3 linked regions of the Drosophila melanogaster genome follow. The protein of the gene in region 2 purifies or fractionates together with the protein of the main gene of each other region. This does not show direct contact. Each region holds a gene or a part of one and is shown on either strand. Other genes may lie near its edges.

The links.
Region 1: the proteins of MBD-R2 (region 2) and pzg purify together in Drosophila melanogaster (affinity purification with western blotting, with the first as the bait; 2 studies listed by BioGRID). This does not show direct contact.
Region 3: the proteins of MBD-R2 (region 2) and Nurf-38 purify together in Drosophila melanogaster (affinity purification with western blotting, with the first as the bait; one study listed by BioGRID). This does not show direct contact.

Annotation. Positions count from the first base shown.
Region 1 is NT_037436.4:21,281,279-21,292,829, reverse strand, and holds pzg (putzig), read right to left. Parts: upstream 6,732-11,551; 5' UTR 6,394-6,731; coding exon 5,763-6,393; intron 5,703-5,762; coding exon 3,343-5,702; 3' UTR 3,284-3,342; intron 3,225-3,283; 3' UTR 2,520-3,224; downstream 1-2,519. Other genes in the region: Cpr78Ca (cuticular protein 78Ca), read left to right, coding at 163-180, 246-611; CG12974 (uncharacterized protein), read left to right, coding at 7,695-7,775, 8,360-8,648, 9,353-9,684, 10,176-10,249, 10,312-10,627; ppl (pumpless), read left to right, coding at 11,528-11,551.
Region 2 is NT_033777.3:12,348,846-12,360,175, forward strand, and holds MBD-R2 (MBD-R2), read right to left. Parts: upstream 7,421-11,330; 5' UTR 7,299-7,420; coding exon 6,074-7,298; intron 6,001-6,073; coding exon 5,350-6,000; intron 5,286-5,349; coding exon 5,153-5,285; intron 5,100-5,152; coding exon 3,769-5,099; intron 3,700-3,768; coding exon 3,530-3,699; 3' UTR 3,298-3,529; downstream 1-3,297. Other genes in the region: CG10038 (uncharacterized protein), read right to left, coding at 235-519, 577-835, 950-1,137, 1,350-1,465, 1,529-1,658; CG10041 (uncharacterized protein), read right to left, coding at 2,042-2,251, 2,565-3,218; CG4115 (uncharacterized protein), read left to right, coding at 11,285-11,330. UniProt on the Drosophila melanogaster protein: Component of the non-specific lethal (NLS) complex, a multiprotein complex that promotes expression of housekeeping genes on X chromosome and autosomes.
Region 3 is NT_033778.4:24,556,388-24,565,874, forward strand, and holds Nurf-38 (nucleosome remodeling factor - 38kD), read right to left. Parts: upstream 4,701-9,487; 5' UTR 4,674-4,700; coding exon 4,466-4,673; intron 4,024-4,465; coding exon 3,905-4,023; intron 3,839-3,904; coding exon 3,443-3,838; intron 3,388-3,442; coding exon 3,236-3,387; intron 3,178-3,235; coding exon 3,068-3,177; coding exon of another isoform or gene 3,036-3,067; exon of another isoform or gene 2,765-3,035; intron 2,746-2,764; coding exon 2,714-2,745; 3' UTR 2,580-2,713; downstream 1-2,579. Other genes in the region: CG11414 (uncharacterized protein), read left to right, coding at 5,473-5,751, 5,810-5,955, 6,019-6,582, 6,640-7,858, 7,926-8,123, 8,192-8,389; uri (unconventional prefoldin RPB5 interactor), read left to right, coding at 9,199-9,228, 9,299-9,487. UniProt on the Drosophila melanogaster protein: Component of NURF (nucleosome remodeling factor), a complex which catalyzes ATP-dependent nucleosome sliding and facilitates transcription of chromatin.

The sequences.
Region 1 (11,551 bases), on a different chromosome or scaffold from region 2:
TTCGAGCGCAGCAGATCGCGTCGCTAATAACTGCCGCTCCATAACGGTTAATACTGGGGTACTGACTTTGGTTCTGGTTCAGAGGCAGCCGTATCGATATATCAGGTTCAAGATCCACAGCGTAAAGGCAAACATTTGAATTAATTTTAATGTAATTAGGCGATGATGTCGTTCGGCAAGGTTTGTGCGACGTTTTGTGACTGGTATTTGATATTAACCAACTGAACTCCCAACCATGCGCTCAGATTGTGGTATTCCTGGTCCTAGTCCTAGTTCAACTAATCCATTGTACGCGCTTTACTGCGCCATCTTTGGACAGGACCATCTACTACCGGAATACGCCACCCGATCCCTTCGGTCACTACAGCTTCGAGTTCCAGACCACCAACGGCATTACCACCAAGGGAGCTGGTAATGAGAACGGAGCCGTCGGAGTGGTTCAGTTCGTTTCTCCCGAGGGTATACCCGTTACCTTCTCGTACGTGGCCGATGCCAATGGATATCAGCCCACCGGAGATCACATTCCCGCCATCCCGCTGCACGTTATCCGCCAGTTGGAGTACATCCGCACGCATCCACCGGTGGATGAGATTCGGTCCAGACGTTGGTAAAAAAACAGGACATTAAAAAAATTATATATTGACTTCTAAATAGCTGTCGATGGGCTGGCTGAATATCGTCGTTACACTTCGGAATATTTTTATTTCGTATTTATGTTAATTGTTTTTCCATGCAAATCGGACCAGAAGAGAACAACAAAAGCATGCCAAAATCTACAGCAAGTCAATATATATTCTAGAATTATAAATAAAGTGCTAGACTTAATTGATCTGCGTTCCTGGAGTCCGGAAAGTTTGCCTAAATGCAGGAACTATGTTCAATAAATTGCAATCAAAATCCGTACATTATACGAGTACTGCAATGGTGAAACTGGCTAAAATATGATAAGCATGTTTGTGGAATTCAATTTAAAAAACCCATAGGGGTTATGCTTACTGACATGCAAATAAGGAAATCGGTAAAGAAATCGGTAAAAATAAAAATATAAAAATTAAAAAAATTATTTAATAGATGCAGAAGAAAAGAATGAATAAAATGTAACGCTTTAATTTAATGTAATTGTAATAATATCTTATTTCTTGGTAATAATAGAAAACTTTTTTAAGAACTATTGTCTCAAAGAAAGCTAAGACTCATGGAGTGCAAAACGAATCAAATCCAGTTTTAATGCTTATGTCTTATAAGTGAAACGCAATTTTAGTCTTACTTAGTTTATCGAGAGCGTGTTGAAACCGGCAACTATAATTATGAAATATGCTAAGAATGCTTCTTTTAAATGCTCTTTTTAAAGCTTAAGATTTATGGACCGCAAAACTAGTCGAAGTCATGTTTTCTATGCTAATGACCAGCGAATCAAGCGCACCGAAATGTCAGCTTTCATCAGCGCACCCTAGATCTGTGAGCTTCGCTATAAATCTGTCATACCCATCCGATCCAATCTGATCCGATACAAAGTGCGACCTTGTCTTTAAGAACGACTTTCGCTTTTCGATGCGGCAATCGGCGAGAAGATTGCGCCTGCCGTCGCTCATTTGCATGTGGGCGCCTAATTAAGGCCGTTGCATAATATTGACCGACTCTCGAAGAGCGACTTAATGTAACCGACAGACTAGCAAGCCAAGTGGAGTTGACACCGTTTAATGTCACCGAACCGCAACAAGTTGCTGATTGATGCTGTCGGCTCAAACTAAATCCCCAATTTGGTTCCGGCCTCGAAAAGATTACCGCGCCCATCGCCAAAAGTTCACCGTGTAAGTGAATGAGTTAGTTGCTAGAACAACTCCCTTCCATTGAAGCGTATTCGAATATAAATTATTCATGGCGAGTTCGTTTATCTTATCTTCCTTTCAACAAATCCATTATATAAATGACAAACAACCCGCAGGCGCAGATCACCAATTTGTACGCGTCCTATTTTTGTATTCATAACTATGAAATAATCATTAGTTCCTCCAAAACCGCATCCACGTGCCAATCCGGTTGCTGTTTTCAGAATCACAACATTCACTGATTTATGGATCGGAACGGGGCATTCATAAGGCCTTCATGACAGTCCAAATGCTTTAATGCCACCGCTGGCAGTTTAGTATCCAACTTAGTATTAAATCTTATTAATCAACTACCTGAACATTTAAATATAGTCGACCTCATCCGCCGCCAACAGGTGTTGGGCAATTAAGAACGAGTCGAAAGTTTCGCTGGTATGCATACTTCGAAAATATCATTCATAACCGACTAATCCATTTTAAAGGTCAACGAACTTACTGACTTGAGAAATGAATGGTTGGATCCATACTGACAATATGTAAACTTTGGGACTGCCTTCTGTGTCATCTGTATTCATTGGAACACAGTTGCCATCAGCGCGTTTAATTAACTTATCTGAATTGATTTACATGCATACCAAATTCCAAAGATCGCTCACAGAGTATAAAGGAACTTGAAACCGATGTTCGTTTCTTTACAATTATATATTTCAAGTTGCTTGACATATATACGTGCATGCATATATTTGGGCGTGTTTGCGGCCTGTGTTTGTTTGTTTTGGGTGTGAATCTGGAGTTTATGGAAGTGGAAAGCGGGATTGTTCACCTATCCTTACATTTTACGGGGATCACTAGGTGTTAGGAAGCATCACTATTTCTGAATTGATTTGTGCCGATTTCGGAACTTAATTTTCATCAAATGTTTGTGTTTAAATCGATTTATTTAGTGTAATTGTTGAGTTATCTTGTAAATACATACATTTATTATATTCCAAGTTTCTCACATAAACTCTATGTTTATACATTTTTTGTCGCTTTCATCTTGCAGTTTTGTCTATACTATTACTAAACCTAGATACGATATTTAAGAGGCAACCAAAGAGATCTGGCTTGAGATCCCTGGCAGCCTAGTGCGAAACGGACCGAATGAACAATTTGATTTATTGAATTAGTTTTTTTCCTTTGCTTGGGTAATAAGAAATCTTTCTTTTAGTTTACTGGAGTGTTTAATACATATACTAAATGTAAATATATATTGAAAAGGTTCGTGTGTGTATTTTTCTGTCTTCGTGTTCAGTTGTCTGTAAAGTTGGTTCGGTTGTGGGTGTCAGGGAGTGGGTTTCAAATTGGGGTGTGCAAAAGTCCTCCAGAGATCTTGAGCGTGCCCACAGCTAAAACCTAAAACAAACGAAAAAGTATGAATATCCCAGTTCACGCTGGTGATTCCTTTAACTTACCAGTCCTCTTCGCATGCCAGTATGGTATAGTGGTCATGACCACGCCCCTAGGGCCAATCCTAGTCGGTCTTTGTCTCCGTAAACTCCTCCAGGGCAAAAAAGCTGCCGCCGGAGGGGCCACCAGTGCTGCTGGCCGTGCTCGTGGCAACAACGGTGGTGGATGCCGTGCCACTAGATGCCTCCGACACTTGCACTTCCTCGCCGGCCGAGTCGGCAGCCGCCTCCTTGTCATCTGCACCTCCGGAAGCGCTGGCTGCCTGCTGTGCGGCCTCCAGGACCTGTTGCTGAACCTGGACGATGGGCTGGCCATCTTCCGTGTACGACACGGACACTGGGATGCGGGTACCATCCTCGCTAATGACATGAGCGCCTTCCTCACCATCCTGTCCCTGCTGGATAATTAACTGCCCCTCGGAGTTCAACAGGGAGGCATCGATAAGCTGCTGTTCATTGTTGTCACCATGGACAAGTACCATCTGGCCACTGCCATCGGTCATCATCTGGAGGGTTTCGCCCTCAAGTCCCTCGCCGGACTGCAGAACTCCTACACTTTGGAGCAGCTGCTGTATTTGCTCGGGATCTTGCACAATTATTTGGTTGCCTTCGGCGTCCGTCAGGATGTGGTTGTCCAGCTGGAGGAGATGGCCGTTCTCGTTAACAATGAACTTGATCTGGCCACCTTCCACCTGTGCCTGCATGGCTTCGTCAAGTTCCATGGCAACATGCTCGCCACCTGCAGCTTCACCCGCCTCGCCCTCGGCTCCAGTACTGGCAGTAACCTCGCCTTCGCCAGATTCACCGGCTTCAGCGGTCGTGGCATTGGCCTCCGACTCAGTTGTGGGCGTATCTGTAGCCTCACGCTTAGCAACTACGTCTCCTTCGTCAGATGGTTGTGGTTCCTCAGCAGCGGCGGCTTCCTTTGACTTGGCGCTTTCTCCAGCCTTGGCCTTGGCTTTCTCTTGACCTGCTTTGCTAGCCGTCTTGGTTTCCTCTGAGGCCTCAGCTTCAGCAGCTGCAGCCTCGTTGTCATCATCTAAACTGGGCATGGAAACCGGTGCGGCATTGGATTTGCTATCGGCAGAGGAGGCCTCGCCGCTTTCGCCCTTGGCATCGATGCTGCCCTGGGACTGTGATTCGTCTTCGGCTTGATCCAAATTTGGCATGTCAATGCTAACAGAGACAGGTGCTGTGGTATTGGGCGAATCCTTTTGCGATTGGTCTCCGTCCGGTTGCGGGATAGTAATGTTGAAGGTTATGCCTCCACTGCCCTCCTGCGAGGTAATAACCATCTCGCCGCCTTTGCTTCCCGGTTTGGGCGCCTCACCGCTCTCGTTCTTGTCGGAGTGGAGCTTTTCAAACAGGCTCTCAATGTCGGCCTCTGCGTTTTGCTCGCCGCTCTCGTCACCGGCCTTACCAGTTGCCTCTCCGGGCTCATCGCTTAGTAAAGCCGTAGCTGCCGAATTTAGGGCAGTGGCTCCGGCCGAAGTTGCCTTCTTGTCACGTCTGTGGGTCTCCATGTGGTGGTTGTAGTATGTCTCCTGGATGAAAGTCAGTGAGCAAATGCTGCACGAGAAGAAGCGTATGTTGTTCTCCGACTCGGTGGTTGCCACCACAGCAGCTGTCGAAGCAGGCAGGCTATCGCTCAGTGCCTCATCAATGGTCTCTTGAAGGAGCTTCTGGGTGTTCAGGTTCTGGCTAACTGACTGCTTGGGCGATACCGTCGATGCGGAAGGACTCTGATGCACTTCGAAGTGCTTAACAAGCATCTCCCGTTTCGGGAAGGTCATCGAACAAGTGCCGCACTTGAAGAAGTTGGTCTGATGCTGTTTGGCATGCACAGTAGCAGCTTCGCGCGTCTCAAAGCGCTGAGAGCACAGGCGGCACTTAAAAGGCTTAGGTTTACCAGCGGCATGCTTGCGCATATGCTCATCAAAAACGACCTTGTCCGTTGACTTGAACTGGCAATGATTGCATGTGTATAGCGATGTTCCAACCAGATTCTCGTTGGCAGCAGCTGCAGCGGCAGCTGCAGCAGCAGCCACGGGAGCAGCTGATGCCGGTATGGTGGTGGTGCTGGTCACCAGTACATTGGTAGCGTGATTCGTCTCCATGTGCTTGCGCAGGCTGTTCTCGTTCACGAAGTTAATGTGACACATGGCACACGTGTTATCCATGGCGGTATTGTGGTCGCGCACCATGTGCTGCTTCATGGCCCCAAAGTGCGGGAAGATTTTGCGGCAGGTCTTGCACTGGAAGGTCTGCTGCTTGCAGGTTTCATAATGCGTGTTGAACAGCCGCATATCCGAGGTTTTATAGTCACACGAGGTGCATTTATAAATCTTGGTGGCCTTGCGTTGGACTGTCTGGGTGCCTTGGACGCTGCTCTGGGTGGTTCCTGGGGCGATCTTGGACTGGCCAACTGTACGATTGCAGAATATGCATTAGGAAAGCTTTATAATTTCTGTATTTATGTACTTACCTGGGTTTCCCTGCAGGAGTTTACGTGGACGCAGCAAATCCGCACTAGGACTCTCCTCCAACGAGCGATTGGCGGATCCGCCGACCATTTTCTGCATCTTGAGCGGCGGACTGCCTTCCTGGCCCATATCCTCGTTAATGGCATACTTCTTGTTAAGCAAACTGATGAGGTTCGTCTTGACGCGCTCCACATCGTTTTCCAGGCGGTCGTAGTAGTTCACCAGGTTGGTACAGCGTGAGCACACGTAATCCTCGCCGCAAACAATCACGAGGAAACCCTCGCCCACGAGCTGGGCCAGTTTGTTGGGGAATTTGGTGGAAGTGTGCGTGGTGCACATATCGGTTAGCGAAGTCTGTGGCTCGCAGCGGTCATCGCAGATATAGCATCGCGTGGCTAATCCGCCGATACCCACGCCACCCGACTCTGCATCGTTGACCGCCTGCTGCTGTGCTACGCCGCCAACGGCTGAGGCTCCTCCGGCAGAGGCACCTCCTCCTCCGCCACCACCGGGTACCACCATACGCGTCGACTTGAGGATTCGCGGCTGGCTGGGACCGGTCACAGTGACCGCTCCGCTACTGAGCAGATTGTTAAACTTGCGGTAGGTGGCCGGATTCAGTTGGTTGTTCATTTCGTGGCGTTTTGGATTCAGGTGAGCACGCCGTAGTGATGGTGTTATTCGGTTTGTGCGGGCGCTACACGCGCAACTGCAAGCCGCTACCTTTCAATATTAATCGGCGATTACGACAAACTACACTTCTGCACTCCGGTTTGGCAGCTTGCTGGGATTTATGTATCGATCGGGTACGGATGAGCCACTCGAACGAAACAATCTATCTTTTTTGGACACCAGGAACAACAATCTCTTCCGTTTTTAATTTTCGGTTTCGTTCTGAGTTGTCGCGGCGTCACTTTGACTGTACTAAAGACTCGGTGCTGTATTTTTTAGGGTTAAAAATGCGTATGTGCTGTAGCAGTTCTCGACGGACGCGTATGGTCGTCTCGCTCTTTAGCATGCTCGCTGCCCTGGCACGGCGGGAAAACATGGGCTAGTCGTTTCACTCGCACGCCACGGAAATGGCGGCTGCCTGGGAGGTCAACCATGGTCAGACAGAGAAAATCTCACAGCGTTGCCGTTCATTACGATAACGTAATTATTTACTTGAAATAATAAAGCATTTATTTTTCTTATTGCGATTGCTGAGTGGTTAAATACAAATAAATACTTACTTGTTGTGCTTGTATTTGTAAAAGGTAAATAATTAGCACATTTTGTCTTGAAAAAAGGCTCAGCGTCATTCCTATCATGCAATGTCAAAATTAACAGTGCGTTTTGTAGACAGTAGAGGGCGCCTTTGCCCGCCCACTTTAAATTCACAAATATTCTCCTCGTAAATATTTGGCATACCCAACCTGTGAGGTAAGCATTAAATACTTGCATTTACGCAGTGATAAAGGCCAACATCACTAATGTGCTAATACATAGGACCGATAAGATTCCGAAATTCCAGTTTTACCTATTCGATTTAGGTATATCTTTTAGCCAAAGGAAAGTTGAAGGGAAGGGGGCTCTCTTATCAGTAGCGATAATATAACATACGACCTGATAAACGTTCCAGCCAAACCACAGAATTCAGTTAACGAACGAAACGAAAAGCGAGCGGATACCGCCTCGATCGAAGCGAAACATAAAAAATAAAAGCCCCTGGCCAGTTGGCTTTTTGTTATAAGAGCCATTATCGCAAGGTTTATCGGGAAATATAGTAAACGGGTGGCGAACTCAATTGTCCGGCTCGATCGTTCAGTTGGCCAACAGACGTCGCGTACTGCAAAAGCGCACTCAACCCGATCGATTTGAGTCCCGCATACGGGGCGTGAGAATATCTCCCAGTATCTGGAAACCACCCCTATATATCGAACAGTCACTGCAAAATGTATTCAGCACCAGCGGCAAAAATCAAGCACTTTGGCTCCCTTAAAACGGTAGCAGCTTGGGCCGGAATTCTCGGAGTGGTAAGTCGGCGCTGGCAATTCAATGTTACAGTCTAGGCCGCCAAGCGACCGCGACCCCATTCCCAGCTCATCGATAAGTGATATGGGGAGATGTTCGACCTGACATTGAGCGCACTTACTAAGATTGGATGGTCTCTCCCTATCGAATAGTCCAGTATTCCAACAGTCGGAGAGCTAATCATGATACGAGTATAATACTCATTGACTCATCCGGGACGGCTCCCAAACTGAAGAACTGAGCCGCACCACAGATATCAGATAATGCCGATTGACGTGTGTAAACAAGTGAATGAACAAAAGATCTAGATTGGGACACTAAAAAACGTAAACGTAAATAAGTACATACAAAATTGGATATTTCGCTGGGTATGAATAATATCACGATCTAGAAGCCATCCAACCTCTTTAATGACGGAACACGAAGAACAAACGATAAAACAATTTTATTTAATTAATTTTCAATATAAATATAAATTTAAAAAAACATGACAAACAAAAACCGATTAAAAATAGTGCTCATTTTTATTCAGTGTGGCTCTGACGTTTTGAGAACTCCTCTTATTTTATTGTTATTTTTATTTCAGGCCCAGTCCATCATCTGGATGGGCTTGACCATAACAGCGATATGTGCCTACAATTGTGTCCTGTATATTACAAATGACCTCACCTATGGCTCCATGGTCAAGACTGTATTCTTTGACGTGTACTTCAAGGGCAGTTGCAAGATGAATCCCAGTGATTACCAGAACTACGACCAAACCATCCTGAATACAGTGACTACTGTTTTTGATCCCACCCAGATTTTGATCTGGAATTCGGTCTACCTGGGCGTTTCGGTTTGCTGGCTAATCGTCTCCGTTGTGCTGCTACTGTGTAAGTACTTTAAGAACCGGAAATGAACTGCATACATAGTTAAGATATCGAAGCCTTTATGATTCACGAGGAGAAATCTAGAAATTTATTTGTGAGGCATCCAAAACTTACGCATGGCACACAGCCGTAAAGCCCAAATAAACAAAACTTGATGATAAGTTCGCTGGGAACTTATATGATGGGTTATATAACGATTTCATTAATGGTTCTTTCCCACCATATACAATTTTCAGCATTTGCTATTGGCTTTCAAAGAATTAAGCACATTAGCCCACAAGTAAACTGGAAAGTCTTATTCTTTGTTATAGACAGATATATTCATTCATACAATTCGTTTTCTAAAGTTAAAATATAGTAGCATGGTTATAGTTATAGTTATGACTCAATCTTAATACTGCTCAAATATGTACGAAACATATCTTATCTAGTAATTGATTAATTAAAATTTGTTAAGTGCTATTTACTTTAATTTTGAAACCAAAGTGATTAGCTTTTTGACACATTTTAGAGCATACTTTACTCGTACATAATGGTCTTTAAAATTATATTACCTAATGACTCCATTATAAGATTGATTGATGTATCGCCAATAAGTAAGCCCATTTAAGTATCACATGTTTAGCGCCCTGTTATGTTCCTGACAGCACTTGCCCGTAATGGATTACACTTAAGTTAATAACCCGCTTATACTCTTACCATTTCAGGGGTGCGCAAGGACAACCCGAAGCAGACCGTGACTGCCATCTACATCTGGGCCTTCTTCGTGGCCACCATATGCTGCATGGATGTAGCTTCTGGAGTGATCTTCGGCGTGGACTACGGACGTTTCCACAAGGAGGCTCTGAGGTATAATGCCAATAGTATCAATGCTGGTGTCATCTATCCCTTGGCTGCCACCTTGATCGCCGGAGGAGTGGCTGCCATTTCCATGATGGTCATCTCCTTCAAGGGATTCGTTCTGTGGTTCATTAACTTTGGACTGCTCGCATACCTTGTCGCGAGAGCCATTCGAATTTCCACCGATAAGGACAATGTGGTAAGTTGTGGTCAGGTCGGCGAGTGAGCTCATCGCCCACCAATGCTGAGTGACTTCTTCGTTGTCTCCGCTGATTCCATAAATTTTCGACACTGCCTTTGAAAATATTCCAACAACGTAGAAGTTAAAAATCGCCGGGCAGCGACTACGACATGGCTAAACTTAGCACTTTGTCGCCATTAACTCAATGTGGTGGTGGTAATTGCTGATAAGCTGGTTTCCAATTTGGCACCAGGTTTGCCTGATAGCGGGCTCTTGGCTTTTCGGTTTGGTTTGACCGAGCACGCTGGAAAATGACGACTTACTGGGCCTTAGGTGCGGGGGTTCTTTGCAAGGACAGTTCGCTTGAACTGAGGTGTTCTTAACTCAGTGTACACTTAAAGTATCCTTAAAAAGCCTCAAATATCTTCCTTAATATAAATTAATTACAAAATCTTGAATGAGCTATAGCTATCTTGCCTAAAATCAAACAAACATGCCCTTTTCCACAGGATACTTTGTTCAATCCTCGCAAGGATTCCAATGATATTCTGACCACCAGGACCCCGATTCGCGCCTACGAGGAGTAAGTATAACGATTCACACATCCTTAATGTCTTGAAAATAATTCTCGATTTGTATGGACAGGGTGGAGGTCCAGGCGTATAACAATGCCGCCTACGTTCCGGAAACCCGTTCCATGGCCGAGACCATCCAGGTGAACGAGGGAGCCATCGTGCGGGCGGCGCACTTGTCGATGGACTCGAACCTAATGGATCGTCGCTTCAGGGACCTCAACGCGTACCAGCAGTACCCGCCTCCGAATCCGCAGCAAAGTCGCCCGCTGAAGCAATCTTCGCAGAATCCCATGGAGACCATTGTGGTGGCCACCTCGGGATTCCCCGTGCCGGACTACTCCCCGCAGCCCAGTCCCAATGGCGTTCTGCGCCACAACCAGTACTAGATTACTAAGCCCCTTGGCGCCCCCAAAAAAGCCCTCTTCGATACTATAATTCTCAAATAATCCCAGCTAAAGTTTAGTTCAAATTTTATCAGGGGGGGCAACTTCTTCTGCGTTTTTATTCTTATTTATTTGCATGTTTATAACGATATAAGTGTACAGCTGTAAATATATAAAGCCGTTCTAGTTCCGCAGTGGAATGGTATTTGTTTATATATGCTAATTTGTTTTTTTTTTTTTTTTTTGTAGAGCTGATAAGGAAATAAATCGGCCCCCAGCAACGATTAATTGGGAGTAGATAAGAAATACAGGAGGAGCATCGACGTGTTGTCGGAAATTAAGATGACTGCTTTAATCTTTAGTCTGATCTCAACATTTAGAAGAGATAAAAGTAAAGCACCTGTTTGAAAAATACATTATGTATGTTTGATTTCTTTACATTTTTTAATATTTCAAATAGAAGCAACCATTTTGACAACTTATGTAATTGAAGTATTTTTGTGGTGCACTATTTTCTAATTAAATCGAAAGTGCGAAAGCTCAAATTTAATTATAAGAAATACAGTCCACCAATAAACTAAATAAATCTTGAAGTTTTCAATCTGCCCGCCGAAATGTTGGGCAGTGCGATAACCGGTAATCTATTATCGCTATCGATATGCATGCCTTACGCCATTTTTAGGCACATTTTGAAGAAGCCGCTGTTTACTCGGGTCAACAAAAGTTCACGAATTATATTCTGGATTGTGATAAGCCGGGCAATATTCGACTTTCATCCCGATTGCCGGGCATTAAACGTAGCGTGTGTGTTTTCAAATCGGATCACTTGTCACCGAAACACCCCCGGGAACGGTTGGAAAATTCATCTCGCCGGCAGTTGCCTTTGTTTTTGACTGGGAAAATATGGTATTCATAACGAAATTCGCA
Region 2 (11,330 bases):
AATGTGCCGAAGTGCCGAAAATCAAATTAAATTGGCCTGATGTAAGTGTTAGTGACAGATTCGGACACTCGCTTGATTTATGCATAGCAAATCGATAGTTTGTGTTTGTCCTCTGAGAAAAGGGATCAGTGTCGGCTATGTGCAGACGGTAAAAACATAATTTATATTCACATCTCCATGATATTTACTATAAATGGGGAGTACAAAAATGCCTTAACAAGTAGATGCTGGCTGTCACTTCTTATTCGCTCGCTGTTCATACTTTTCCTCAATGAACTTGAACACGGAATCGATGGCCGAGTAAGAGGTCCATTCGTGCTTAGTGTGGCCAGCGGAAATCCTCCGGATGCTGCTCTTTGACTGTGAAACGGGTGTGTCTAAGGGTGTGTTGCTGGCAACCCAATCGCAGGCCACATCGCACAGGTACTCCTTGTTCTTCGCTTGGGGACTTCCCATGGCGGCATCAGTGAAGGCAATGGCAAAAACGGATTCTTTAAAGAAATCCGGAAACCGCTCCACCTAATAAAGAGAAGATTAAAATATGATGTTGAAATATATTTGGAATTTTATACCCACCAAATCAAGAGTAAGACTGCCACCATAACTGTGGGCCACAATGGCCACACTCTCGGGTTTCGCGGGCAATACAATATTCTTCCACACATATTTAACGTGCTCTACGGACGTATTGACGCCCTTGATGGGATTCTCCTTACCATTGTAGAATCGTGTGCAATCGTTGGCATTGGTGATGAGGAGATCGTATCCCAGTTTTTGGGCCTGTCGCACATAAGGCAGCTGGGTACCGTGGTCCAAGGAATTGTTAATAATTAAACTATAACAAAATTAAATATGTAAGTATTTGTATTTGTATGTTAATATCATTTGTATTGGTATTCAGGTATTTTTATCATTTCTATTATTTGGTTTAAATAGTGAACATACACACCTTCTGGCCCACTGTCCGGCTTTAACGTATCCACTGCCATGGATGAGGACTAGCAACTTTTTGGACTGCGACAGCTTTGCCGGTTGCGAGAATACAAACGAAGACCGCTCTGGAGGCTGGTCAAAAGGGATGTAGGTGCGACTAAGACCGTTTTTCTCCAGCAAAGCGTAGACAATTTCTGGGATTTGCTATGGGCGATAAAGGATACAGTATTTGTATAAGCTTATTCCTACCCACGTGGGCATATGTAATAATATTTGTGGAAAGGAATTGTGTGGTCTAGTTTCTCTTGAAGAGGATTCGTCCTAGGTGTGGATTCCTTGACATCAAGGAAACCTAATAGATTATAGTTTTCGGCAGAAGATATTCATGTGCAATGTGGGTTGAATGCGGTACATACGTTGGCTAGCTTCTGGTAGTGCTTCTCGTTTTCGGCGGCGTCGTCGCTGACGTTGTAGGAAAAGAGTTCCTTGCCAGGCTCCCCAGTGGCGGGATCGACTTTGCGCAGCACTCCTTCTGCAGGAGGCAAACGGGAAGATCATATTGTCAAGTAGCGACTTTGTGCAACATTCTACTTACCTCCATCGAATGCATATCCAAAGTTTTTCAGCTGGATGAGAGCCTCCTCGCAATTGCTAGCCGGCGGCGGTGAGTGCGACATTCGAAAACTTCTGAGGGGTCGAAATATTTGAATAAGCCTAGACCACATTACAATCGGTCGCGTGGCTTCCACACGGTTCGGCACTTACGTAGTAATAGAGCGATTGGAAAAAGCTTTTATTTATATAGAATTGTTGTTCGAGTTTTTGTTTTGATTTTTCATATGAACGCCGAACTAGGGATGGAATAAGCGCGCCACCTACTGGCCGCAAGCTCACATCGTCTAAGCGATAGGTATCGATAGCGAGGTCAGAGCACCAATTCACACCAAAACGCATCACTGCCAAAAAAAATCCCCATAATATTCGTTATAAATTAAATTTTATTAAATAACATTTTTTAATATAATATTGATCCTTTCCTGATGATTAATCATTGTCTTTTAATTGTAACCCTAGATAGAAAAGATCATACATATTTCTGTAAAACCTGCTATAACCCATCTTTCCATACAGTGCGATTAATTTGTAAGACTTTTAATCTCGCAGCCATAGAGTCCATGGATTCCTGAATCCAGCTGGAGTATGCGTTGATGCGAGTGAAGGCATAGGGTTTTAATGGGGTGCAGGCTTTTCGACCGTAGGAAAGTAATCCGTACAGCTTCTCTTTTGCCACATTCATCAAGGGAGCTCCAGAATCTCCCTGAAATGTAAAATTAAAATAACTCTTATTTAACTGATATAAAAATTATTTTATAGCATTGGTGTTTGTTCCTGGTAAGAAATTATAGGACTTCTATAAATAATATCCTAAATACCTCTTAAAAATTGCTACGTATTGCAAACCAAGGAATTTGACTGGAATATGTTTTCTAGTTTCAAATTTTATAATGATTAAATATTTGAAATGTACCTATATGTAGTTTGTTTAATTTAATTGGAAAACATATTCTTTGTTGAAAAAATTTTAATTGATTTTCGATTATGAATTTCTGGCGTATTTCTGATCCACTTACGTCGCAGGGACCTCGCGGTCCTTTCAAATGCATCGCACAGATGTCAAGCGGTTTGAGGAAAACGAAGCGATGGCTTTGCTGGCACTCATCGTTCTCCATGGTCAAGAAGGGCATCTCCTGGAGTTTTCTTATCTTGCCGACGCCAACCCGACCCCAGCCAACCAGCGAGGCCTGGGTGCCACTATCCCTTTGAGGCTTTCCAGCAAAGTTAATGCTACGAAATCGCACATCGTCGAGCGGGAATTTGGGGTAAATCCTCAACACGGCAATGTCGTTGCCGCCGAGCACCCTAAACTGGGGATGCCATCTTCTTTCCACGACGAAGAAGCGGGTCTGCTTCCGGCTGTTCAGCGAATCGGCGCCACCAGCCACGTACAGTTGTTTGGTTGGATTCGTTTGGATGCAGTGGGCTGCACTGAGCACGAACTCATTCGAAAGTATAACGCCCACGCAAAGGTGCTTGTAGTATCCTTTAAGGTTCTCTCCTATGGAGACGATGTATGGATAACGAGGGCGGAAACTTATCACCTTCGTGGTCGACACAGTTGTGGCTAACAAAGGTGTGCTATTCTGCGGGGTGTCGGAAAGCGTCTCCTGGGCTGCCGACATCGCGGCGAACCAAGCTATGGAGCAAAGAGATTGCCAACAACACATAACTGCGACCAAGTCACGAATACAAAGACGTCACAAAGACGTCTTGTAGTCAGGTTTTATCATCAAGCATCTTAACTTTATAATTGGGCATGAAATTATAATTTTCTGTATTCTCACATGGTTAACTTTAAAAGAATATACATTTAAATTCCATTATATTATCAAACTTTATAAAGTATAGCAATATTTTTTTTGAAGAGAAAAAGCTTGTACGGTTACTATCTACACGTCTGCAAAATTATGGAAACAGTTCGAAAATAGCTTAAAAGAAAATCCTCATTAGACCCCTATAACCGTGATCAATAGAAATGCTACTTGCTAGTGGCAGAATCTCTGAGGGTCTGCTTCATATTGGCCACCTGGTTGAGCTTGGCAAGGCGCTTCATGGTTTCGAGCTCCTTAATAAACGTGGCCAGCGCCTCTTTTGTGGTCGAGATGTCAGCGTCCTTTAAGTCATCCAACGTGTCCTCCTTTTCAAGTTCTAAAAGAAATTCAAAAATATATATAGATTCATATATACTCGTGACAAAAATTAGTTTTGGATACTAACCGTCCATTTCGGCTTCTATGTCATTCAGCCGATCGAGAACCAAGGATTGCTGCACCTTGATATGCTCGATCAAACGGTACTGGCACTCCTCCGGATCGATGGCAGCTTCCGGTTGCGGAACGTTCGGAAGGTCGGGGGCCTCCAATTTTGCACGCTTAACCGGTGTCAACGCAGTAGAGTCCAGATTGTCTTCGTCCCACTTTTTGGCCCATAGATAAAGCTTCGGATGACAGCGGTTGCGTGCGATGTTAATCTTCACCAGCAGCGAGTGCATCGATCGCTTGGCATCTAGCAAATTGCCGGTCAGCGTGTGCGAGCGCTTCAAGAGCTCGAATTGTTTGGTGGCCTGTGGATTTGCAGTGTGATACGCGGCCACCGGCAACTTGCCTTCGAATAGCCAGTCCTGGTCGTGCTTAAATCTCATAGAATCCCGACCCCTCTGCGGATTGCGACAAATGTAGCACACATACTTGTCCGGTACATCTGCCTCTTTGACAATTCCGTTGCATGCACCGTGTTGCCAGCATAGGCACAATTCACATTGGATCATTAGGCCGTCCTCTTCGCCATACTCGCAGATGCAGTTAATGATCTCCTCCTGCCGCATGCGCACAATTCGAATTAGTTCACCATTTTCCTTGATGTACTGTGGTGCTTTGCTTAACGTTTCAGCTGGTGGTGGGGCAAGGGCTGCATTTATGTCGGTCTGGTCATTAGATGATGGCGTGGACACCGAATCTCCCATGGCTGGTGAGTCAATGGAACTGATGGGAGTTGTTGCCGCACCACTGCGGCGTTTTTTCGAGTCGATGCGCGTATCCGGAGTGGGGGTGTTAAAAGATTGCCGTGTCTCCTCAACATCTTGTTCGGTTAAGCCATGACCAGCCGGGTTATCTGACAAAATGGGACGACGCTGAGAGCGCTGGCGGTTACTCTTTCGCGAGCCAGATGGCCGCTTCGACGGCGACAAGCGTGCACGCTTGCAGGAACGACTCAATGAAGGATTAAACGACTGAGTTGGACCAGCATCCAGAGAAACATCTTCTTGTTTAATGCCACTTTCAACAGTTGGCGACACACTTGGTGGCTCCATCTTAGGAGATAACAGGGCCTTAGTAGGCGTTATGTCAGATGGCGTTGAAGATGTGGCCGTAGCTGATACACTCTGTCGTTTAAACGATCGTGACTGCTGCAAATCCTGCTGGTGCATTTTGGCAAAGAATTGCTGGTTGGGTATTTGGTTTTTTGGCACCGCCTCAACTTGATCGATGGATGAGGGGTGCGTACGTTTGACCGCTAGTTCCTGCATCTTTGGACAGTGGCTGACGTGTCTGTAGATTTAAAGTAAGTTAGGTGTCATGAGTTTTGAATGAATATTACTCACTCTGCAAACTCCTTGTGATAATGGCGAATGTGGATTAGCAGAAAGTCTTCTTTGCGATAGGTCTTGGCGCAATCTTCGCGCGGGCATACATAAAGATTGTCTTGGATTTTGACTTTTAGGCCCCCAATGAAAGCTGAAATATGGAATTATAATTTATTTTAATATAGCACATGTTATTTCAAATTGCATATACTTACCAAAGCCATTTTCCACCACATGAGGATCTGCTAACATAAGCTGAGAGGTACCTCCCTCACTGGCTTCCAGTATTTCTGCTTCTATCTTGGGCTTTGTCTCATCGGCAGGCTGCGTCTGCGGCGACATTAACTCAGCTGGTGGCATAAGCGAGGCCACCGGTGCTTCCATGTACTGGCTTTCTTTCACCGGCATCGGAGTAGAAGGTAAAGAATGTTGCGACGTGATGCTCTGGTCCAGCGTGGAGTTCATCGACACATCCATGGGCCTGGGCTTGGGCGGTGGCTGCGGATTGTAGCCGTGTGTGTAGACGTAAGCATTGATGTCTTTGGCACGACGTCGATGGATGCTAAAGTCGTACACATCCGGGTTGTAGACCAGATTCTGGGACTCAAGGAACAACTTCAAGTCGGACTTGGAGCGGAAACGTTTGCCGCTGGGCGAGACCAGAATAACATCCCACTTGCCGAGGACGTTGGACCGCTGGTACATGTGCTTGATCCAGCCAGGAGGCAGACGCCAATCCTGCACGATAACAGTGGGTTTCTGGTGCTCGCCCACAATCAGAAAACCCTCGGTTCCAATAGGCTGGTCATTTACCCAATGACAAGTCCACTCGCCGTCATGCGGTATTTCTGGGAGTCCAAGGGATGCTGTTGGTTACGAAAGTCAAACATGAAAGTTAAGTTTAAGGCAAAACTAACATTCTCCTTTCGGTGCTCTTACCTATATCCAAACTGGCCATGTCCAGCAACGGCCAATCCCTGCGCTGAGGTGCACATTTGCTCTTCTTGCTGCCCGAAGAGCCACTGGATCCGCCAAGGCTGCCTGTGCTCGCCCGCTTCGGAGCCACAGGTGCAGAGCTTACTGGAGTTCCAACAGGAGTGGGTGACTTTGAGGCACCCTCTTCCGCTACCTGAACAGGGGGCAACTGCTTGGGCATCTTGTTCATGTGCACGGCGCGCACGTTCTTAACGTAACCATCGTCGAAGAGAACCTCGTAGGTATCGTTGCCCAGCAACTTGCGTATGGTTCCTGGAAACTTACGCGGCCCCGACCAGCGGGCCATGCACTTCTCGTCCAGCTCAAAGACGGGCAGCACACGGTTGCTGAGGCGCTGCCTCAGCCGCTCCGACTTGATGGCCATCCACTCCTGAAAGCTGCCGCTGGTCGAAGGTGACACCTTTAGCTTGTGATTGCGCTCAAAGCGCACGAGTAGCGTCTGCTCCGTCTCGTTAACTTCCACGATGCGGGCGGGCAACCAGTTGCCTTCCACACTGAGCGCCTCCAAACGGGCGCCAATAGTCAGGTTATGTGGGTTGCTGTACTTGGGCGGTGTGCCGGGCAAAGGTGAGTTCGAACTGGAAGCGGATCCAGGAGCTGGGACTGTGGCTTCGCTGCTTGCGGCTACCGGAGTCCCTGAGGGTTCCTTTGCAGCTGCCTTGTTTGCATCTTCTCCACTTTCGGGAGTATTTTTAACGTCATCCGCCGCCTTGCCTGTTTTACCTTCCTCCGTGGCCTTGCGTTCTGCAGATTCCGACAGGATTTGCGCAACTATTTGGTCTACCGTAGCTTTGATCACATCGTCATTGGTCGATGACTGAGCATTTCCCGGGGTTTCAGTCGTTCCCTCCACGCTGGCGTGCTGAAGTGCCCGTTGGTCTGCTTCGATCTCCGCGGTATCCATCTTGCCCCATGGAAAAACGGTGGGAAAGACGCGCGGCTTGAGCAGATACTTCCCATTGCGGATAGTGTTGAAGTCCAAACGGCGGAAGTGGCGTGAGCAGACCAGCACGCTCTTGGTGATCTGGCGCTCCAGGCTGATGCGAGAGTTTTTGATCCATATGGCGCGGATGATGGGATCTAGGGGGAAGGAGTGGTAAGTCACGCCGTTGTGCTCCAACAGACGCGACGTCGACGGGCAGTTGGCCACGCAGCACCGGCGGCCCATGGCGATGAAGTTCACCCAATTCTCTATTTTGTTTGCCTATGTGCAAACGCACACTTTGCTAAGTGATGAAATAATCCAGGAAACGACGCGAAAATTATCCAGAAAAATACAGCGCAATAAATTAGTGATACCAAATTGGGGTACAGTAAAAACGTGTGCGTCGGCAAACTATCGATAGTTAGATATTGCCACCTTGTTGGAAAAGTTCAAAACTATTTAACGATATTTTTTGAATTTTATAAAAAATAAATTTTAAATGACTTTATTGCATAGATCTTTATTGTGGTGATAAATAAATACTACTTTCGATAAATAAATAAATATTACTTTAGAGCCTGAGTAGGTTGAATTTAATTACTTTTTATTTCTGACTATCTCAATTTTCATGAAACTTTACATCAATCTTCCTGCCATAAATTAACTATTAAAGTTGGTAAATACCCGCTGCACAATTAATATTAATCGGTGCGTTAATGCATTTTAGCGAAGTGAGGGTGCCATAAATTTCCTCAGCTCGGCGGAAAAAGGATCACGTGCCGATACGCCACCGTTCCCAAGGCCACCGAAAGCCTATTTGAAATGCAATTAATGTACGCTTTTGGGCTTACATGTCACCACGTTCGCCAAAAGGCAGACACCTTGCAAAAAGCTAACCAAATACGATATTATCCATTCGACAAATGCTTCTGGAAATATGTATTTCAACACTGGGTTTCAAAGTTTGAGGAGCAGCTATTTACGCATACTGCTAAAATAAACACTCATTGTAGTTTTTAATTACAATATTTCACCCGGTCATTAGCATGCAAGAAACAACTGACAAATTTAAATGTGGCGCCTGCTGCTTGATCGGTTGATTGAGCCGCCAAAAAAATCGATTGAAGTATGGAGCTTTGGCCTTCAAATCGAAATATGTGAGGAAAATGTGATGGCACATTTTGAAAGAATAAAATATTAAGATTCTCTATATTGTGTCAATATCTTATGTATATATGTGGCTTGACCCCTCGAATTCCGTAACTAAACAGTTTAGTTCCATTACAAATATTGTTTTAGAATGATAGCCGGAAACTCACGGTCGAAGAGCTTCCTGTTTTTGGGTACTTCCCTGAAAACGAGGTCTCTGGGTCAATCGGTTGACTTTTAGATCTTGGGCGTGTTTGCGAAATTGACACGGAGCCAATATCAAATGGTGTTGACTTTGATTCAGTGGATTGCCAATATTTGTAATCAAATCACGGCTGGAGCATAAAGCAAACTTTAATTATAAAATGCTTTTATTGTCATATGCAGCTGACATAAATATTAAATAACGTGAGTAATTGACGTTGCTAAGCCGAATAATTTAGCATTTTATAAATTTTGGTCAGTCAAAAACTGACATTGAGGGGGCCACTCGAAGGGAAATCCAAAATGGGTGGTAAACACGGTTAGATTTCCGTTTGCATAACTATTAGTGAACATATTTGCATAAATTATCGACACTCGATGAAATTGGGACGACTGCACCTGACCTCACTCTCTTTTTGTGCAAATAATTCAACAATATGTAACCTGTGCAAAAATATTTTTCAAAAACAGAAAACCGAAAACAGAAATATGTACAAGGAGAGTACAAAACTTTTGGTCCAACTGACGGCGGCACTTTCTCCTTTAATATTTACCCAACTCATCGACAAATTGGCCAGGCCCATTCCCCAGCCTCATCTCATCGGTCCCAGCCGCATAGCCCATAAGTCAGCCCCTTCTCCCTCTCCCTCTCCCGATCCCGATCCCCATTCCGATACCGTCTGGGAACTCATTGCGTAAATATGAGGGCATGCAATGCGGTAATAGGCTGGCTGCGCGTCTCTTGACAGTTGGGCCCAGTTTCCCGGTTCCTTATCACATGATTATTACCCAAAAATATTATCGCTAAATGATGATGATCATTTTGGGCTTGAGAGTGCCCACGGGAATTCATGTAACGCCGAGTAGCTCACACAAATTAAATAAATTATGCTTGCCCGAAAGACATGGCTTAAGCAAATACACGTGTTGACCATGTAAATGGGTTGCCTAATTTATTATAATTTTTATTGCTCTTTGTCGTTCAGCATTGCACGCCGGTCATTTGAAATTTGAAATTTAATATGTGGAATTTTTTCAATGCTAGCAATTGGGATTTTTCCAAACTCTGTGTACAATATATTGAAATAATTTTACTTAACACCCACCTCTGTGGCATAGTTTAATAATAATCGATACAAATATTTTGCTAAATATTATAGAAATTTCTGAGAAATGGGCGCGGCTGGCCCAGCAGCATCCAGCATAATCCGCCCAAAGTGTCCAACGAGATACATGTGTCAGGTAATGAGCGGCACCTGCCTTCGTGTAACTTTTGCCGTTTTACCGATTGCCATAAAGTGCGATTTAACAGATACCTTTGCTTTTTCAAAAACCGCCATTTTTTGGTTTCGGCTGTGTTCGGTCGACATGCTCAACTGCACGTGAGTTGAAGATGTAAAAATAAAGAAAATAACGCGCGGAGGAGACAAAACTTATCGAGGCGATCATGTTGAAATGCGTGAATTGAGCTTGGGTTTTGGGTTTTTGGGTTTTCGGGTTTGCTCGGCTTACTCTTCACTTTCAACTGGTGAAATTTTCGTACTCATCGGGGCTGACCTTGATCTGGGTCCCAAGCTGTGGAGAAAATAATGTAGATGGGCATCATTTCTTATGCTTATGCAATGGCAAGTGTGTTTGGGTATATCTTCTGGCTATTTATGGCCGGCATTATGTAACGTTTGGCAGCTCATTTAAAATTATAAGTACGATTAGTTGTTATATAGGTGCGTATTTAATGTAGCCACAGAACTTATTGATTAATAAGTGACCTTTACATTTCAATTATGTCGATTTCAATCGACATAAATTGTTGGTCAACACATCAGTTGAGATTATGCAATGAGCAAAGCGACAAAAGCACTGGCAAATACATACATTTCTGAGACGAAGCAAACAATAGCGTAAAATGCATTTATTTATGCAAAGAGACAGGAGACGCAGCACACAAAAAAAGTTCGAAATTTCCGTGCCAAAAACGATTTTGGCTCAAGTGGTGTCGTGTTTGTGAAGCTAATTAGATGGGAGTTAGCCCAATCCATTCAACGGCCATTCAAAGCGAAGTGGTGCAAAATGATGCGCAAGCCAAAGAAACGCCACCCATCGCCCACCGATCGTCCCCCCCTCCCCTTTTTTTGCACCACTTTGGCCACTTATCATTCACGGTTGCTGGTTAAACAGCCACTGAAGATTAGGCCATTCTCCCCGTGCTCCAATTTATAAATGGGTTACAGATTGCTCTTAAAATATATACATACATAGGTGCAAATTCACGAGTATCTACTTAAATCAAAAATTCTAGCAAGTCGCTAGAATTCTACTAATCTACTAATCTTAACATTTAAGTTTTTAGCTTAAAATACTTCTGGCCTAACCATTTTCCAATCTATTCAAAACATTTAAAAGGAATTTTTCAAAATGAATCAATCTCTAAATTTATTGCCTCTGTAGTACAGGGTATTCAAATTTCGACTTGCATACAATCAGCTCCGTTGATTGTTACAATGTTTCTCACACTAAAAATCCTGAAAATAAAAAGTTAAATTAAAAGAAAGTATATGGTTTTTATAAAGAAAAAAGAAGTGTTCAACAGTAGGACTTCATGGAATAAACATTTTCGAGTGTAGTACTGCCGCCAAACCAAAAAAAAAGCCCCACCACTCATTCTCTCTTTTTGGGGTACGGCGCTCTCATCGAATTGAGTGGATGGATCGATGCGACTCTCGGTTCGTATATAAGGCGGGGTTCCCCAATGCTTTTGACATTCCAGTTGATCAGTGCCAGCCGATCGGTCGGTAGAGAGAAGTGCGTCGCGAGTCCAAAAAAGAAAATCGAGCCCGCAGAAAGTGCCAGTGAATAGACTGATAAAGCAAACAAAAATGAAAGCTTTCATTATCGCCGGAGTGTGCGTGTTGAGCGTGCTGA
Region 3 (9,487 bases), on a different chromosome or scaffold from region 2:
GCTCGCCCATATCCTTCAACATGGGGCCGCAAACATAACTCTAAGTCCCCGCCCCACACACCCACAGCCCCAACACACCATACACCATACAGCACACAACAAACAACACACACCACACACAGCTGAGAATCGGTGCGAATATCGTGGGTTGGAACGAGCATCCGCATCCAGATATAGATCCAGATCCAGATCGAGAAACAGTCCCACTACGACCACACATGCAGAGCCAGAACACAGAAATCTAAAATATTAAAACGCCCAAATTTAATTCGTACTTATTTATTACTGTATGCCTTACAGTTTTTACTATATGTGTTTTTTTAAAAACGAATTATTTTTATTAATTTATTGAGAACGTTATGCGTTTGTTGTAAGTAACATAATTGGGGAGTGGGAGATGGGCGATGATGATGATCAGATGATGATGATGATGATGTGCAGGAGGAGGATCGCAGATCTCGCACTCCCCACATATACATAGAAGCCGAAGTATTTATTTTTAAGTATTCTTAGCTTGTTTTATTATTATTGCGTTATGCGGTTTGTATATAAAATAAACAAAACGAAATCCATTGTTTTTAATCTATGTAATGTAAAATGATAACTTTTATTTTTGTATCTGTATTCTACTGTAAAATCAGCATTTAGAGTTTACATTTTACACGATTTTCCGCAAGGGCAAAACTACAATGATAAAGATAAACCCATACGAACACACACATACACACATACACACATACACACACACTCACACACACACATATATACACCGCAATCGAGACCGAAAGTATTTTGCAAATGTATTACACTTACAATTTTGTGCTATTTTGTAAAGATGAAACCCTGAATTAGTGTAAATCTGTTGGCGCAAAACGGAGATATGTATTTACCTATATAGTATATAGTATATGCATACCTATCTAAAGCTAAAGCCTTACATATATCCGAATACGAGTACCCTACACACATGCTAAATATTAGAGAGAAACGCAAGATCGCAATTTGTGCAAGACACAAACAAAAACCTGGTAAAAACACGCGAAGAACGGAACGACTGCATTACAAATGTGGCAATAAATAATACATAATTAATAAAACCCTGTAAATTAATAAAGGATAATCAATCATTCGCTGGCTATTTGAGAGCATCAAAATTGTGATAAATGAGAATTAGAATGCGAATGCGCGACGCAGGACACCGCCAGAGAAAGAGACCGCCATACAGAAGGCGACAGAGACAGACAGACTGCAGCTGGCGATTTGCGCGCGTTTCTGGCGCGACTAAAAACGCCTGCTTACCGTTTTTGTTTTGGTACGTTATAATTTTCTTTTGTTTTTAATTAATTATTTGATTTTTGACCTTGTGCATTCTTGGCTTTTAACTAGCACTCAAGCTAAAAATTTGACCAACTATGCTTTACTTTTTGTTAAATTCCTCAATAATCCTCGAACTGTTGAGCTCGTATTTTTTGAGCAAACAAACAGAACAAGATTTTGAGAACAATAATTTTTGTGATATATTCAACCATACCTGAATATGGCTTTTGAACTTTGGCTCTTTTTTCTTCTGAGCAAGCTATACACCAAATTAAAAAAAATCAGGTTTCCTAATTCCTCCTCCTCCTTTTGTTTTTGAACACAGGCAAGAATGCTTCGGATCGCCCTTCTTCAACGCCTGCATAGAGGCTCTTCAGCTGCACGAGGAGATGGACAAGTATAACGAATGGCGCGATACCCTGGGTCGCAAGTAAAGTGCGATTCTCTGGGATTTTCTGGCACCGTCACTGGCACGAGCAGCTACTTAATTCTATGAACTATTAACTAAAACTATTATTATTGATAACTGTGGCAGAACACGGCACGAAACTATGGCAACCAGGAAACGATCGACCCGAGGAATGTGTACCACTTGAAGAAACAACTAAGCTAACATCTAGCTACAAGAGAAAGCAGAGCAAAAATGTTGAAAAAAAAATTATGAAGACAATTACTAAACTATTACACGCTACTTATCCGCACTTATATCGGAAAGTCTAAATTGGTCTATATGTTATTTCTATCATCTGTCATGAAACAGTCTCGTGGAGCTTTTAGTTGTAGTGAATTACGTAAATTATGCTTATTTCTTTTAGTTCTTCGCGCAGAAGGAAAGCAAAAAGTTATGCCAAGAATCAAATATGAGAAGAAACAAACAAAAAAAAAACAAGCAAACAAAAAAACGAACGAACAAACGAACAAGAATCAAAATGTCTGATGTATATAACTATTTTTGTCTTCTTTTAAAGATTTCTATACATATTTATAACGCCTAACTGATTTGTACATTTCTTTTATTTCGTAAGCTTAAGTTAATTTGTTACGGCAATAAATTTTACGTTCCACACCTTCCCACACATGCTCTCCTGCAATAGAACGGAAATCACATCTGAGCAACACCACACGGCATAATTCGATTCGATTCTATGTAGTATTGCAATGCCTTACAATTACATAACTTTTAATTAATTTAAACTTGTTTGGATCTAGTCGTAAAATATAAATAAAGATTGTATATTTCAAGAGGAATCGACAGCGAATTTGATTGCGGTGCAAAACTTTATTCAACGTACGATAATATTTCAGTATTAATAATTCACAAGTGCAAGCATTTTCGATTCGATTGGACTACAGATAGATCATGGATCTTGTGATGGAATCAGCCCAGGAGAACATCTCACTTGAGATGAATGAAATGCCAAGTGTCGACTGCAATTACAAAGGACGTAAATTGGTATAAAAAGGGTTTATTTCAGGATAACATTCAGTATAAAGTATATGTACAACGATTAACGAACGCAAGCAAGCCAATTACATAAATTGGGTTTCAGCAGTATTTACAGCATGGAGTAATCTCAATTTAGCTTGCTAACTGGACAATTAAAGTAGCTATTAGTAAGCGTGCAGGTTGTGTTTGTGTAACCAATTTGTTTGCAAGTTACTGGTGGTTAAAGCGTGTGTTGGAGTAGTGTGTTTTTGGTTGGGATCGGGTGAAGCAGCTATAAGTTCGATCTAATATAGTGAACCTTACCTGTATCAGACACCTCCTCGACCTGGCCGCCATCGGGGGCCTCGGCCAGTATCTTCTCGGCCTCCTCCTTGGGAATGACGTGCTCCGAGTTGCGGTTGGTGATGTTGGTGCTGCGAAACGGACGTACTTAGGATTAATTGTAAATGTATAAAATGGCATTTAACCCACGTGGAGATGGACCCGGATGCGGGGCTCTGGTGCACCAAGTTCTGCCAGAACTTGTGGGTCTCGGCAATGATGGTGTTGGCAAAGTCCGCATTCTTGGCATCGCCGTTGAAAGCAAACTGATTCTCAGGCTTGCCATCGGGGATCTTGTAGATCTGCGAAATGCAAAGGGTAAGAGAGGGAATCGTCCGAAAATCGAATTCCACCCACCTTGAACCACTCAACGGTGGCACGAAGCAGACCCGGGAAGTACTGGTCCACATCGGCGATATCATTGACTTTCGAGGCCAACGGATCGTTCACATCGATGGCGATTATCTTCCAGTCGGTTTCGCCCTCGTCAATCAAGGCAATGGTGCCCAGCACCTTGACCTTCAGCACGTCGCCGCGCTTAGCCACTCGGTAGCCAATCTCGATGACATCGATGGGATCGTTGTCACCCTTGCAGCCGGTGGAGGGCTCGATGTGGTCGGGGTTTTCCCAGGTCTGGGGCAGGGCTCCGTAGTTCCAGATGTAGCCCTTGTGCGGGAAGCAGTTGGCCACGAACCGCAGCTTACCCTTCTTGATGTCCTGCTTGATGGGATTCATAGGGGTCTTCAAGCTAATCTAAGGGTCAGACATGCAATTTTTGTATTATTCAGAAGTATGAATCTTAGGGACAGGCAGACCGACCTCCATTTTCGCGTTGGTCCAACGTGGCACCTCCACCACCATGTTGTAGATAGTTTTCTCCTCGTTGGCGTACAGTGGAATGTCGTGCATCGGCGAGATGACATTGCCGCACTTGTTTTCTGTGGAGAATGGCCAGAAATTATTATGCCTGATATATGGGCGACACCTGGACACGCGATTTGATTAATAGTGACCGGGGACCTGTCGGCTAGACAAAGGTCACTAATTTGCGTGCCAGTAAACCGAAATTCAGCCACCAGTTTCGATATCTGCTATTCGGAATATGGGCTAATAAAGGAAAGAGATAAGCCCAAAGGGGCCGAAACTCTTGGTGTTTCCGCCATTTCCGACGCAAGACAAATCGGATCGGCTGATAGTGCTGATAATGCGTCGAGTTAAATAAGCAGAGTCCGGTTTGACCTGTTGCATAACCATTCCGGTACCGATCAACTAATTCTAGGTGCATTAACTGCACCGAGTTTGGGTAACTTGCAAATGCGCAAGCAAAGGGTTAAGCCGGGTCACATTCACATTTGGCCCCCAATGCGCTACTCTACTCACTGAAATACAGGCTGTAGCTCGGCGAATTCTTAGCGCCCTTCTCAACGGTTTCGTACAGAGCCATCTCGTGTGATTTCGTGCGCTTCCGTTCTATCTGAATATATCTGCAATTGCTGGCAAGGGCCGCTGGTGACGTTGGAATCGAGCCGGACAAGCGACCAACCGCACGTGAAGCGTAAAATGAACTCCTTGTAATTTTCGCCAACATTTTCTTCAGCCCTGAGTTGAGTCTATCGATAGGGCGATAGGACCCGATTTTACAGTTAACAGTGCTGCTCAGAAAATGTATAGCTCGATTCCATTTCATCCATTCCAATGGAGAATGAACTTCATTTTTTCATACAATTAGAACTATTATTATAAATATTATTATATGAAAACTATAACATTATAATTATTATTATTAAATATAAAATACAATATTGTAATTATAATTATTATACAAATCTATTTACAGTATAAATAAGACAACTATCAAAACCTTAAAGATTATTTAGTTTTTGTCAAATCGTAAAAACTTAAACAAAATATGCTTTGAATATGTTCATACCTGCAGAAGAAGCACTTAGAAATATTTTAAAAGTTTCATATAAGTGATTGAATTTTTTATAAATTCGAAGTCAATAGGTTTTACTTGTACTGGTTACTGATCGTTGCGAAATTGTCCGAATTCTGGTCATGTTAACTTAACATTAACAAAGCTTCCAACTGGGAACTATCGGTGCTATCGGGGATCCGAGCAGTGTCATCGATAACATTGGCAATCGAGTTTTCTAAATTCTGAGTTTTCTTTTCGTCTGTCGTGTGTGCGTGTTGCCTTGCTTTCGAGTTGGCGTTGCAAAAATTCCCCTTTATTTTGCTGACGAGATATTCCAAAAGAGTAAACAAACCGGGGGATCCAAGAAACCCCAGCTTTTATCCGAAAGCAGTCGTTACACGTACATTTTCAAGTGCCCGTGGCAACAAGTAAATTCCCCCCCTCCATTCACTGCAAAATCTCTAGTGAAATGCAGAACGGAAAACCGAGATCTTCGGCCAGGCCGTCGTTCCACCGCCGTCCCAAAGACGGAGTGGCCAACACCACCACTGATAACGCTGCTGTCAAGCCGGAGGCCTTGGAGAGCTATACGGGCAACGACGACAACGCCTGCGTGGTGTGCTTCAAAAACGTGGAAATTTTCTCCATCGGCGACTGTGATCATCCCGTGTGCTACGAGTGCTCCACTCGGATGAGGGTTCTCTGCCAGCAGAACGAGTGCCCCATCTGCCGCCACGTCCTGTCCAAGGTAAGTCCTGCGCTTGTCTAGAGAACCGAATCTCTATCTAATTCTAAAACACTTGCAGGTTTTGTTCACACTGGACAAGCTGCCCTATCGCGAACTGGAGGCAAATAACCGCTCTGATTTATACAGCAAGAAGTACCGCATCGGCTTCTGCACCGCAGAGATAAGACAGCAATTCTTCAAATTGCTCGACCATCCCTGCCCGAAGTGAGTATTCTGCCCGCACTTGAGTTGCACCATTGAGGCTCACCCTTCTACGCTAAATTGCAGATGCGATGCACCTCCATACCGCACGTTCGAGGGCCTTCGCAACCATGTTCGCAGCGAGCATAAACTTCTGTACTGTGACCTATGCGTCGAGACCCTCAATATCTTCACCTTCGAACGGAGGTGCTACACTCAGGCGGAGCTGCAGCTACACAACACCAAGGGCGATCCGGACAATCGGTCGCATCGCGGTCATCCGTTGTGCGAATACTGCAATAAACGCTATGTGGACCGTGATGAGTTGTTCCGTCATTTGCGCCGCGAGCACTACTTCTGCCACTTTTGCGACGCCGATGGTTGCAATGAGTTCTACAATGACTATGCGGATCTGGCGGAACATTTCCGGGCGGAGCACTTTCTCTGCGAGGAGGGTAAGTGCGCCACCGAGCAGTTTGTCGGCGCATTCCGCAACGAAATCGAGTACAAGGCGCACGTGGCCAACGTGCACGGCAAGTCGCTCAACAAGCAGCAGGCCAAGCAGACGCGCACCTTGCAGGTGGAGATCACTTTGGGGCCTCGTGGCCGTAGTGGGCAGACGGAGCAGGGCATAACCAGCGTGAGAACCAGGTGAGTGAGCGGCCATCCAATTTGAAGAAGGCACTCTTAGAATGGTAAACCTTACAGGAATGACGAGCACAACGACTACCAGAACGATTTGCCTTCGATCACCCAGCGCCATGTGAGCATTGATGCTGGCAACGAGGAACAGTTTCCCACATTGAGAGGCGCTTCCACAGCTCCCAGCGTATCCTTGGTGAGACCGCCACCGCCCTCGATGCGCAATCTTAGTGGAACTTCTGGTCTTGCTCGGACCAAAGAAAACTTCCCGGCTCTGGGAGGAGGAAATGGAGGTGGTGTTACTGGGCCCACTAGCAGCAGCATTGCCGCCCGGGCTGCTCAATCGCAGCACCCCGTGGCAGCTGTCTTTAAGAAACCCACAAGCGCGGCAGGTTCTGGCAGTCGAAGTGGGCCTCCCGGTAACGGAATGCTCCTGCATGTGTCAAATCGATCAGCAGCCGTGCCCAAAAAGGCAGCCACGCCGCAGGTAGACTTTCCTGCATTACCGGGTAAGGGGAACAAGAAGAATCTGCGCAACCTGGAGGAGGATATGCTGCCTAGCGGATCGCCAGTGCCGATGGCGAACATCTCCGCTAAGCATCGGTCTCTAGCCGATGACTACGTGTCAGTGGCTAGCCCGAGCACCTTTCAAAAGCTTCAAATGGTACAAAAGGAGGAGGACGAGGCCAAAGCGCGCCAGGAGGCTTTGAAGAAGAGTGCTCCCAAACTCACTGCGGCGGAATTCCCTAGCCTCGGACCGAGTGCCAGCGCCAGCTCAAGCAGGACGACTGCTCCAAAGCCCAGCAGTGGATCTCCTTCATTGAACTGGTCGAAACCAGCTAATGAGAAGAAGCAGCGTGAGCTGGAGAATCGCAAGGCCAAAGTGGCGCCGGCCCCGGTTCTGCCGAGTCCAACATCGAAACCTGCTCCCAAGGCAAGCAACAACAATGTTCAAGAGCAGCAGGCAAATAAAAAGGATAAAAAGCAGAAGGATAAAAAGAGCAACCAGGAGAATCAGCCTAAGACGGCCAAACCGAAGGAGAGAAATAATAACAACGAACAAAAAACCAATGGGGCTCCGTCTACGCCAATACGTGCTCCTCCCGGCTTAAAACCTGGCGGACCGCTAAAGCCACCACCAGGATTCGTGTCCAACGTGACTGTTAACTCGGTGGCCAAGCTGCCCAACAATCTCACGTTCACCAATTCGCTGGGCGAGTCGTATGACATTGTACCCAGCCCCTATACGTACACCGATCCACCAGATACCGAGGTCAGGAATCAGGTAAGCTAACGTCGTTTGCCAATTAGTTAGAAAACATTAACTTAAAAAGCATTTGTCTTGCGTCCAGAAATTGGTTGATGAGGTTATGTCCCTGCTCAAGACCCCAGAGGCGTTGAACGAATTCCGCTTGCTTTCGTCTAAGTTCCGCGACGGATCCTGTTCTGGCCAAGCCTATTACGAGCACTGCCAGTGCGCCATGTTGAGCTCATTTTACAACCTGTTCCCGGAGCTGCTGGCCATGCTGCCGGACATAAGTAAGCAACAGGTAAGACCCGTTTGCAAAACCACATAATAGTAAATAAAGAGTAACTCCATTATTTGCGCCATTTCCAGGAACTTTACCTAGTGCACAAACAACACCTGAACAGCTTGCCGCCCGCCGAGCGCAAATCCGTGCCCGCGCTTGAAGTTTGCAAGGTGTGCAAACAGATCCTCATCACCGCCGACTTAAAGAGCCACCAGCAGGCGCATGAGCTGACCAAAAACTTCCCCGTACTCGGAAGCTCAGCCTCTAACACGCACCGCAATTGAGGTGGTCGGATTGTAGGACAACAAAAGCTTTATCCCTGTATATTTTCTATGTACATATATACCGTGTCAACCATCTAGGAACCATGTCCCCAGATCATGTTGTGAGTGGAAACCCGAAAAAGAACTAGCCGAACCCATCAGTCCATGTAGCGCGACCCACGAAGCCATCTGTTCAATGTGACTTAGTCCGGACAGAAGCTTATCTTGGATGCGTTTCTAATATTTACGAGTGAGCTTGTGTCTAGCAAATGCCCGCAACCTAATAAAGTTCAAATCAATCACAATTATTAGTCGTAATCACCTGGTATGTTTGCCTAACCTGTCGCCCTATCTAATGTCCACATATGGTGGTCGCAAATTGGTTATCACCAAATGGAAATTGGTTGTAGTTGTTGGGTCGTATGGAGCAGATTTATTATCGGACATATGGAGCTCTTCTGCTCTTATCTACGTGGTTTGCTAGCTGGGGAGCGATGCTTGGTAGTTGAGTTTTCTGATTTGAGGAAAAGTAGAGCTTTTGTCGAATATGAAATTCGAGAAAAGCTCATTCTCCATTTTTCTACATAGAATTATTATGAAGGTAGAAATCTATAAAGGCGCGCAGACTCGCGTTAGTACATTTTTAAATAAATCAAATTTAACTAACACTGTTTTGTATTAAGTTTTTATTACGTAACACATAAATGTCTGAATCCATATTAATTACTGGTTATAATGTTACTATAATTATTTATATGAAAATGCATTACTGAAGATTATTTTTTTTGGATAGACCTACGGTCACACTAAAGTCGCAAACAACAATAACAATGGACCGGCGAGAGGATGCTCTGCTACAGGTAATGTTATTAATTACCATATATGAATGGAGAAACTGGGGTAATTACTTTATGGAACCCTGTACGACAGGCCCTCCAAACGAACGCCAGCGAGACAGAGCGCTGGGAAGCCTTCAAGCGCGATAATGAGAGCACCATCCGGAACTTGGACAAGTTCGCAAAGAATCTCAGCGTGGAGGTTATGGTGCCCATTGGACGGAAGGCGCTGATGCCCGGCGAGCTGATCCACACCAACGAGCTTCTGGTGGGTCATTACGAG